Linked DNA regions of Saccharomyces cerevisiae S288C. The gene in region 1 interacts genetically with each later gene. Each region holds a gene or a part of one and is shown on either strand. Other genes may lie near its edges.

Evidence for each region. Genes that interact genetically often act in the same process or in processes that back each other up.
Region 2: of YET3 (region 1) and INO1, extra expression of one rescues a mutant of the other (dosage rescue), as found in Saccharomyces cerevisiae (one study listed by BioGRID).

The regions. Positions count from the first base shown.
Region 1 is NC_001136.10:326,565-332,174, reverse strand, and holds YET3 (Yet3p), read left to right. Parts: upstream 1-1,727; coding exon 1,728-2,339; downstream 2,340-5,610. Other genes in the region: BDF2 (Bdf2p), read right to left, coding at 1-1,151; AHK1 (Ahk1p), read right to left, coding at 2,608-5,562. UniProt on the Saccharomyces cerevisiae protein: May play a role in anterograde transport of membrane proteins from the endoplasmic reticulum to the Golgi. May be involved in invertase secretion.
Region 2 is NC_001142.9:133,832-138,022, forward strand, and holds INO1 (inositol-3-phosphate synthase INO1), read right to left. Parts: upstream 2,103-4,191; coding exon 501-2,102; downstream 1-500. Other genes in the region: retromer subunit VPS35, read right to left, coding at 1-104; SNA3 (Sna3p), read right to left, coding at 2,541-2,942; SCF ubiquitin ligase complex subunit DAS1, read left to right, coding at 3,548-4,191. UniProt on the Saccharomyces cerevisiae protein: Key enzyme in myo-inositol biosynthesis pathway that catalyzes the conversion of glucose 6-phosphate to 1-myo-inositol 1-phosphate in a NAD-dependent manner. Rate-limiting enzyme in the synthesis of all inositol-containing compounds.

The DNA.
Region 1 (5,610 bases):
ATTGTTTTGTACTTCCAGTTCATTAAATTATTTGATATTGTACCCAAATCCATAGGATTCTTCACGACATCAAAGTAATTTGGTAGATTCAAAGCAATCGGATCAACAGGTTGTAAAAAGGGAAAATTTATATCCGAATTTTTTTTACTCATCAAAACCTTTAGTATTTTCAGACAAGTCCTGAATTTTTTTTGTAAAGTCTTTGATTTTGGTTTGGAGTTTTCATATATATCAAACAAATCTTTTGATTTGGGTGGATGAATTGTTCTTTTGGGTCTACCACCACTGACGCCTTCTCTATTTCCGCTTTCCCCAATATTGTCATTGGTGGTACTAACTGAACGTCTAATGACAAGTGGGGAATCCATATCCTCATTTTTTTTCCGGTTTCTGCTTGTTTTCTTCAAGGCAGAAGCGGGTAAAACTCTTGGTGGCATTGCAGATAACTTTTTTTCAAAATACTTTTGAATCCTTTTAGCCATCGAAGAGATTGAAGATTCTGGACCATTAAAGTTTAAACAATTATCCACCATTGTTTTGAAGTCCGATGTGACTTGCTCTACTGAATGATACACGTTGCCCTGCAATTTTGTTTCAATTAAAGACAAATCCATTGGGGTTTGAACGTAGTTGAAATAATGCGGGATGTTCAAAGCAATAGGATCAACCGGCTTCAGAAACGGTCTAGCATCTTTTAATCGTTTGGTCGCCTTAATGGAGCTTAAAAGGTATTTACTTTGGTGTGGTGGTAGTTCCTCCGCTTCCATTTCAGCTTCCAACGCCGGCTCTGTTTCCCGTTCTAGGCCCAAAGGGTGCTCGGGAAAACTTTCCGGAGTGGATGCATTACTAATGGAAATGGGAGACAAAGTTTGGTGGGCGTGGGATGAAGAATTCAGGTTAGTGATACCGCTGCTCGCAAGTTTGTAATTTTCCTCGTGTCCATAGTGGAAGATATCCCTGAAGTGGGGTCCATCGTCGATACTTACCGCGCTGACATTACCGCTATCGTCACCGACGCCGACATTGATATTGTTTTTGTTACTACTACTCTCGCTGCTGCTGTTGCTGCTCCTGCTATTTGCAGTAGCACTCTGTGGTGCTGCCAGTAAAGCAGAATGTGCGTGTCTTGTATCCATGTTAGTACGAGACATAGCCGCCGAGGTTTATTTCGCTCAATCTGTTTGTTTCAGTTTTTCCGCGTTCTCTCTTTTTCGCTCTTTTCTGGCTACCGCGCCCGCCTTATATATAAAATCTCTTCCGAATAACAAAGTGGCCGAAACAAGCGCCAACGTCGACCATTTTGCCACCGTGTCACTGTGCACGAGCAACGAAAAACTGGCGTTGGTTGCGCCTCACGAATTGCTTGAGCCTCTTCCCAATATCATCGCGCATTTATTTGAGTCATTCTCTGCCGCTTTATTATTAAAAGTCTGTGTGCTATCAAAATGCTCTTGCTCCTGTTCACCCTCTATGCGTAAACACTTGCGCGTTTCTCCCTTTCTCTTTTAGCGTTGTTGACGTTGCACTCTTTTTTCGCCTCTTTCTTTTTTTAGCTAGAGGGTCACCCTGCCTGCTTCACTCCATTAAGGGGAAGAAGAGTGGAAAAGTGCCGTATATAACAATGGTATATAGCAAATCCCGATTTAGTAGGAAGATAGAATAGTGAGCTCTTCCAAGGTAACCACGTCACATTATACTCATAACCATAGAATTCACAGAATTGAATCATGTCATTATATTACACCTTGGTTTTTGCCATTCTAGTGGTGGAGATTTTCATGTTCTCCATTCTAGCCCTACCAATCCCTTCTAGATACCGTAGGCCTCTCACCTTACTGTTATTAAAGCCGTTCAAATCCTCCACAGTGCAAGTTGCGATCAAGTGTGTACTTGGGTTCATTCTTTTGCTTTTCATCGATTGTATCAACAGAGTGTACAGCATCGACAAAGAGCTGCAGTTAAGTAGCGCCTCTCAAAATAATGGCGCTATAATCGCTCAAGATAGAATTGAGGTTCTTTCTAGGAAATTCTTTGCCCAAAGGAATATGTATTTGACAGGTATAACTTTGTTTTTGACCTTTGTCGTCGTTAGGACTTTTGGGCTAGTCATAGAACTTTTAACCATGAAAGACATATACAGAGCATCGCCTCCAGTAGCCTCCAGCGATGTCAAGAAGAACGACTCTGTTACTGCCGAAGCTGCTGCTCAATCCGGCGCTTCCAAGGATGACCACGGCGATGAGAAAAATTTTGAACTATTGAAGAAAATTCAGGACATCGATGACGAAATTGCACGTTTAAAGGAGAAGTCGGAATCGTTGCAAGAAGAAATAAATTAGTTTGACGTTTTATTCCTTTTCTTCTGCACAGAAGTGTGTATATATATATTTATATATAGTCGATGTGCAAAAGCCTACATTATTTTTCTTTTGATTTTTATTTTTTTGTTCAAGTAGGTTCATGCCGACAGTAAATCCTTATGCCCTACCTAAATATAAACACCCAAATATATATATATATATATATATATATAAATAATAAAAACGGAAAGGAAATAGAATAATAATAATAATACTACACGTTTACGTATGTAACTCATTCTATTATTCAGACTTTGATATTAATAGAATTATTACTACTAGGTTTCCTCACTTCAAAATCTATAAATATACCGTCATGCTCTAATCGATTGGAAAACTCAAAATATTCTCTTACTGTAGCATTGAACGTCTCAATTAAAACACAGATTTTTTGTATCCTTGTTCTCAACTTCATATCTTGGATCTGCTTCCAAATTGTCACCTCCCGCCCCCCAGTAACTTTCAAATCTTCCACATTCTGATTACCAATTTTGGCTACATCTTGCTCATCTTCCATACATTTGCCAAAAATATTAAAATCAGGCACCGGTATCTCAAAATCTAGACCATTACCGCATAAGGTAGCTAAGTTTCTCGTCTCACTTTCGTTCTTAGCAACACTCGCAACCAAATCTTTCGGGACGGGTAAAGGCTTCATGTACTTACTGCCTCCGTGGATTGTCCCCCATTTCATGTTCGCCAAATCTATTTTTTCGACGACTCTTCTATTGGTTTGAATAAATACCAGTTTGAATATTGTAGCAATACTATTGTGTTCCTTGATTTCATTAGAAAATCTCAACTCTGGTGGACCTATCAATATATTCTCCCTCCTATTGAGCTTGATACTTGAATTATATGATACCATTGATCCTGAATTGTTACCATGCTTAAAAATTTTTTCAATATTACTAGATGACTGCTTCGGCAAAATTTCTGCAAAATCAGCCACATCTTCATCATATTCAAAATCGTTGCCTAATTCATTTGCCTGTTCCTTCTTCTTCTGTGAATCTTCAGAAGTACTTGAAAATTTTGAAAGCCAAGTGTTCAGTGTTGCCGATAAAGAACTATTACCTTCCTTTCTCTTATTTTTATGCGAGCCACTATCTTCTGAGTCTTCATCATTATCTTCGTTTTCCTGACCTCCTTCGTAGCCATCCATAATTTTGTGATTTTTTTTGGGATTTAGTCGGGTCTTCTTTTCTGCAAGAAGAAAGGCAGCTTTACTTGTCATTTCGTCCAAAATATCATAAGCGTATTTACCATTTTTCAAGATAACGTTAGGTCTTGTATTTGCCACTGAGCTGACAGAGGGAAATCTTTCTGTAGTTAAATTTTTATCATGATTAATCTTATAAACTAAGTGGTCCTCTGTATTTGGTTTTTTTGGAATCATCATCAAACGTGAGTTACCATTAAAAACGAGAGCATTCTTTCTATGCGCCACTATATCATTTGAATCGTGTTTTTGCATCTCAAATAACTCCTCCTTGTTTACCAGTAGCTCTTCATATAGTTGTTTAATTCTATCATGTGGCAAGAATCGTAATGAAGAAGAATTTTGAACACTTGGAATGATTTTAAAAACTAATACCTTCATAAATAAAATTCTAATCAAAGGAAATTCGTTTTCAAAAATCAATGACTCCCAAAAATCACTTAACAGCACTTTTACTATTTCATCGCGGTCCTCAATGGTTACGTGCTTCCAAATATTGAAAAGGCATAATAAAGAAACAGTCTGGCAGTTAACATTTTTGGTCCTTAACATACTCAAAAGCCCATTGTACCACGACCTCCATTGAATGAATTTCAGAGAAGGTAAACTTTCAAACTGGAAAATAATAAACTGGAGAACCTTATTGTAAATGACGTTCGCTGCAATATAATCGTACGCTGAAATAGTGGAGACATAGTCTATCAATAGAGACTCATGTAAGGAAAGCATATTTTCCAGGTATTCCGGATGATTTTCTTTAAGAATGCATCCTGAAAGGCTTCTAAGACATTCCCATAATTTGATTGTCTTAAAATTAGAAAATACGTAATCATTAATCCTTTCAGATGTAATTAAAGCATTGCTACTATTCAAACTCTTGAAATTTGGATGTGACTCTGTCACATTCTCATTTGCTATCCTTGGATTCGGCGTTTGTTTAATAATCCGCGTGAATTTATTCAAATCTGAATTCAAGAATCTAGTGGTTACATGCGTCAATAAAATTTCTGAGCCAGGTATGCATGACAATGTCGATTTTTTAATTCCTACATCTGAATCAGAGAATTTCATAAATTGAAGTATGATATACCAATAGTGCCAATAAAATGACATAAGTACAAAATCATTTTTAATATAAGAAACAATGATCTTAAAAAATTTAGTATCTTTATTTTCAAAAGCTTCAGTGCGGATCATTTGTCCCTGATCGTCGGTGAATTTATATTGTCTCTTCTTCCATGAAAACAAAGATGTTTGAATACTTGAAGAGATTTGAGGAGAAACTGTCAATAACAAAATTGTATCGAAATGAAAGTCTTCTGGTAGATAAAAAAATGCGTAAGCATTTAACTTCCCGATGAATGCTCGCAGCAAGGAAGAATATTTGTTAAGGTATTGCAGCTTCTTGTCGTTTATAGAGCACTTGTCATCACTATTTGTACGTTTAAGTTTTTTGGAGTTTTTAGAAATCAAAATCAACTTGTTTGTTATGCAATGAATGGTCAGCAAAAGATGATGTGAGTATATTTCCATGTCTCTGGATGAATGGAAAGGCAATATTATTAGTATGGTCATAATTTTGCTGAGGCACTCGAGACACACGGAAGTTAGTTCTATGCTCAAGCTCAATTCAAGGGCAGTATCTATTTGAAGCGAGGTGTCAGAATTTAGAAAGTTTAAAAGTGTGACCCACCATTGGGTCAAAACATCTCTAACCTCCAGTGTACAGTTGCTTCGTGAAGAATCACACCATTGTCTTAGAACCGTTAGTAGTTTCAAGCGTAAAAAATTTGAGGAGGATTTGCAAAATTTTGTATTTTGTTCTTTATTACTAGCTGACTGATTAGCATTGTTTATGAAATTGATAAACCTGTTCAACGATTGAAATAATTGAGTTTCATAATTGTCCATCAAGAAGCCATCTTGAGACGTAGTCTTTAATCCACATTCATATAGTTGATTATGTATGGCAGGACCCATGCTTAATGAGCAATATGATCTTTAGTGCTACAACAATGCGTATATAGC
Region 2 (4,191 bases), on another chromosome or scaffold:
TGTAATGATTCCATTAGTTTGTGTTGAGATAGACACCGGTTCATTAGTGCGGTTCGCTGCTTGATAACAGCGATCGCATTTTCTGGTGAGTCCGCATACGCCATTGTGTTTTTCAGCTTCTTCTTTCTCGTCCTCCTCCTTTTATCGTTATATATTAACTTCACTGGGCCTTGTTGAGTGGTCGCACATACACCACCTTCTTTTTTTTTTTCTCTCTTTTCTTCTCTTTACTGAGGTGGCCCTTGAATAAATACAGCACTTTCTCGCATCTACCTCAACTGAAAAAAAAAAAAAAAAATAAAAAACGCCCCTTTAAGACGAAGTGACAAAGAGGCAATAGTTCAAAAGAAAAAAAAAAAATATAAAGACTGTTGATAGTTGAATTTTTATAAACGTTATGTTAAGTATATGTATTGATGGAAGGGATAATAGGATAATGGTGAATGTCTTGTTTTTTTATAGGTAGGCGGAAAAAGAAAAAGAGAGTCGTTGAAATGAGATTACAACAATCTCTCTTCGAATCTTAGTTCGTTTTGAGAAGGCAATCCAATCAACAATCTTAAAAAATTTTCTAAGGCGGTTCTTTGCTTGTTTAAGCCATTCACCGGGTGAAATCCTGGTCTTGTTAATGGAGCTTTTAACCAGTAACTCAAGAAGGTTAAAACTGGATAAAAGTTCTCGAATTTGCCAGCATCTTCTTTAACTGGGTCCACCTTCTTATAGGACACTCTTGTACAAAACTCAGTCATGACTAAAAGATCGATGATCAAGGGCGTAGCCAGTAAAGAATCTTCGCAAACATTGTGAATGGAAATCCGGTTATGGCCACCTAACATCAACTCACTGTAATACTCGTCCATTGCCACTTTTGAGTCCCCGACGGGCTTCATATATTTGATGACAATGCAGTGGTCAACTTTTTTACCCAGTTTATCATTGTACAAGATATCATTAGACGCGATGATGTCATCTATGACAGAACTTTTGGAAATCTCCTTAGACCTAAATTGTTTTGGAGCAGATAAGTTATAACCGTCATTATTGCCTAAATGGTTATAGGATGCAATGGAGACCGGTTTAATACCTGCATCCACTAAGAACTGGGCCAGAACAGACTTCAACTTGGTTTGTCCCGACTTGAGATCGTCTCCCGCAATGAATGTACCCTCATGCTCAGCCAGCTGAACCAAGCCGGGAACAAAAGTATTCTGCGGTGAACCATTAATATAGGGGACACCTTCCAAGATAGATGCTGCTGCAAAGATCGTGGAAGGAGCAATCTCTTCATGGTCATTCTTAATAGACTGCAAGAGGTTTTCCATGGTGTCATTAACACCAGGAGATACTTCTACGTACCTCTCAGTATTTGCAGTCCAAAGAACGATTACTTTATCAAGGGCGTTTTCTTCTTTGAAATTCTGGATATCGCGTCTGATGCGTTGCAGATGGGTCCACTTACCCCTCGTGGTTACGTTGCCTTTTTCATCCAAATTGATGCAGTTATTGGCTCTCTCATCTTGATTAGCTGCAATGAAATCAGGGTAGTAAATGGAAGGAAGAGGCTTCACCAAGGACATCTTCGCCTTCAAGCGTTGTTGCAGATCATATTCGAGAACTTGACTTCTCTGCATAGCTTCGTATAGATCTGCGTTATTGATGTCCCAACCAGAGACGACAAAGTCGTTTGGGCTAACCATGGGCAACAGAGAGTTAAAAGGAGCATAAACGTCATTCCCCTCCGCATCGATACCCAGTTTCAAGGTAGAACATTGAGTCATGGAGCCGAAGTAGTTTGGTTGCTTAACGCCTTCCTTAGTTTGAAACTCCACATTGTGCTTATTCGCCAATACCGAGGCCACTAAAGTGGAGCCATTGTTGCCACCTAACCCAATGAGCATAATTCCTAGTTTTTCCGGCTTTTTCAAGTCAAGTTTGAACACGTAGTCTTGAACAGTGGGCGTTACATCGAAGCGGCCACTAGCTGTCTTCGTAACTACAGCATTTTCGTAGCTGTACTTGGTGAGCAGCTCGTTGTCCTTGTACGTGCACTTGTCGGTAACTACTTTAACGGAGGTGATTGGAGCAATATTATCTTCTGTCATTGTTACTTCTTTTTCACTGGAAAAAAAAGGGAATGAAACAGAATAAATCAAGGATAAAACTAACATTAGGAACCCGACAACAGAACAAGCCAAAAAAAGGTGACGAAAGCTCCAATTTATATACGTCTCAAATTAACATTGCCGCCAACGCAGAGGTGCGCTTTCTCTGCTCCATGTGAATTAAATAAGTTCAATATTCTGGGAAAGAAGGATGAAGATAAAATAGACAATACTTTTCACATGCCGCATTTAGCCGCCGAAGCGCATACTTGGCCTCCGCATATTTCACATTCAACACTTTCGATTCCGCATCCAACCCCGGAACACCGGCACGTATTTCATAAAAAGGACGTGAAGAACAAAAGGAACGAAGAAAAAGGCAATAATTTACTCTATGTGTTATTTAGAACTACGGTGATAAAGAGCTCGTTCCGATCACTAAGTACGGCCGGAAGAGAGCTGTTGTTTGTTGTCCATCAAGGGCACATCGGCACCGGCCTCATCGTCTTCATCATATGCTGGAGGCTGTGCTTGAGATTCCTCTGCAGGGTGAGCTTCCAGGTCACGGTCTACGGCGGGCGCAGTCGCATGTCTGCGTGAAAGATCGTACGAACGTTCACTACTCGTTTCATATACAACGTAGCAAGCGTGAATGATTGCTGGGAAGAATAACAGTAGGAAGAGAAGTAAGTTCAATAGTGTATCCCTGTTGAACATACCCTTACGCTTCCAGACGGCCACTGGGGGAATGAAAACCGCCAAAACCATTAACAACAAGTCGTCCTTGTTGATGGAATAGCTCATTCGATGGTCATGGTCATTAATATGGTCTCTGTCCATTTCTAAATTATATTTGGTTGTTTGCTTTCTGCTGGGTTTTTATTTTTTAACCTAGCCCCTTTCCTGCAGCTGGCTCATTCGTGCTGTACTCTCTTTCCTTTATATACTAGTGAGACCTTTTCCCCCGTTCCCAAAAAGAAAAAAAAAAAAAAAAAAAGAAAACGAGCCTTCATCACGTGCATTAAAGAAATAGTAATCCCAACGCACTCATCCGCTATATACATAGCGAAAAACTATATGCCCACTTCACAAATACGAGTTTGCATGTATAATATATAAGATTTATAAATGTTGTAGGGTGAATGTAAACGTTCAGTAATATACCGGTATATCTATCAAGATACGATCAATGCAACGCTTTACTGCACTGCACTACACCCCTTTTCCTCTACTTGTTTTTCTTAGTTCCTATTTCCCTCTCAAAATGCACCTGTTCACCAGAGTATTCTTTCTCATTGCAAGTATTACCCTACTTTATCGTCCCACACAAAGAGGAATATATATAGATTATAAGCGAATTGTAGATTTCGATGGAGATCTGATTTCCGTGCAAAATATCCAGGACGTCTATACACAGTGTTTACAACTCAGCTTATATTCATATCATGCCATTTCAAGATTATTTTCAGAAGAAAAAAGCAGCGTTCATTAACAGAAACAATAAAAGTAACGCAGATGCTTCAGCGCTACGAGATATTAACGATATTAACATAAATTTCGCCGCCAAGAGCAAAAACTACGTGTTCCCGCTAACAAAGCTCCCCGATGAGCTCATGCAAGAAGTATTCTCTCATTTGCCGCAACCAGACCGCTTGCAGCTTTGCCTTGTGAACAAAAGGTTGAATAAGATCGCTACCAAACTGCTTTATAGAAGAATATATTTGAACGACTCAAATGTAGTGAAGAGTGACTTCATGCATCTCGCAATTAATTGGACCCTACTGAACTTGCCGTCTTCGTTGAAAGAAGAGGAGTCCCGCGATATCGCCAACTGCAAATTGAAAAAACTTATAGAAACACTGCAAAATAATATTCACATTACTGAAGTCATCCAGTGGATAAGGATCAACTGGGATTTGGACTCTACCTTGCAAAGGTCCATTCTCAGCATCCTTTGCAATCAGGGCAAGTCCTTGCAAAGACTAGAAAACGTCACTGACCCGGCTTGTAACGATATCATCTCCAATGGTCACTTTTCCAGGAGCAACGTCTCAAGTTTCGACATGGCTCCTCCAAATTCATTGCCTGA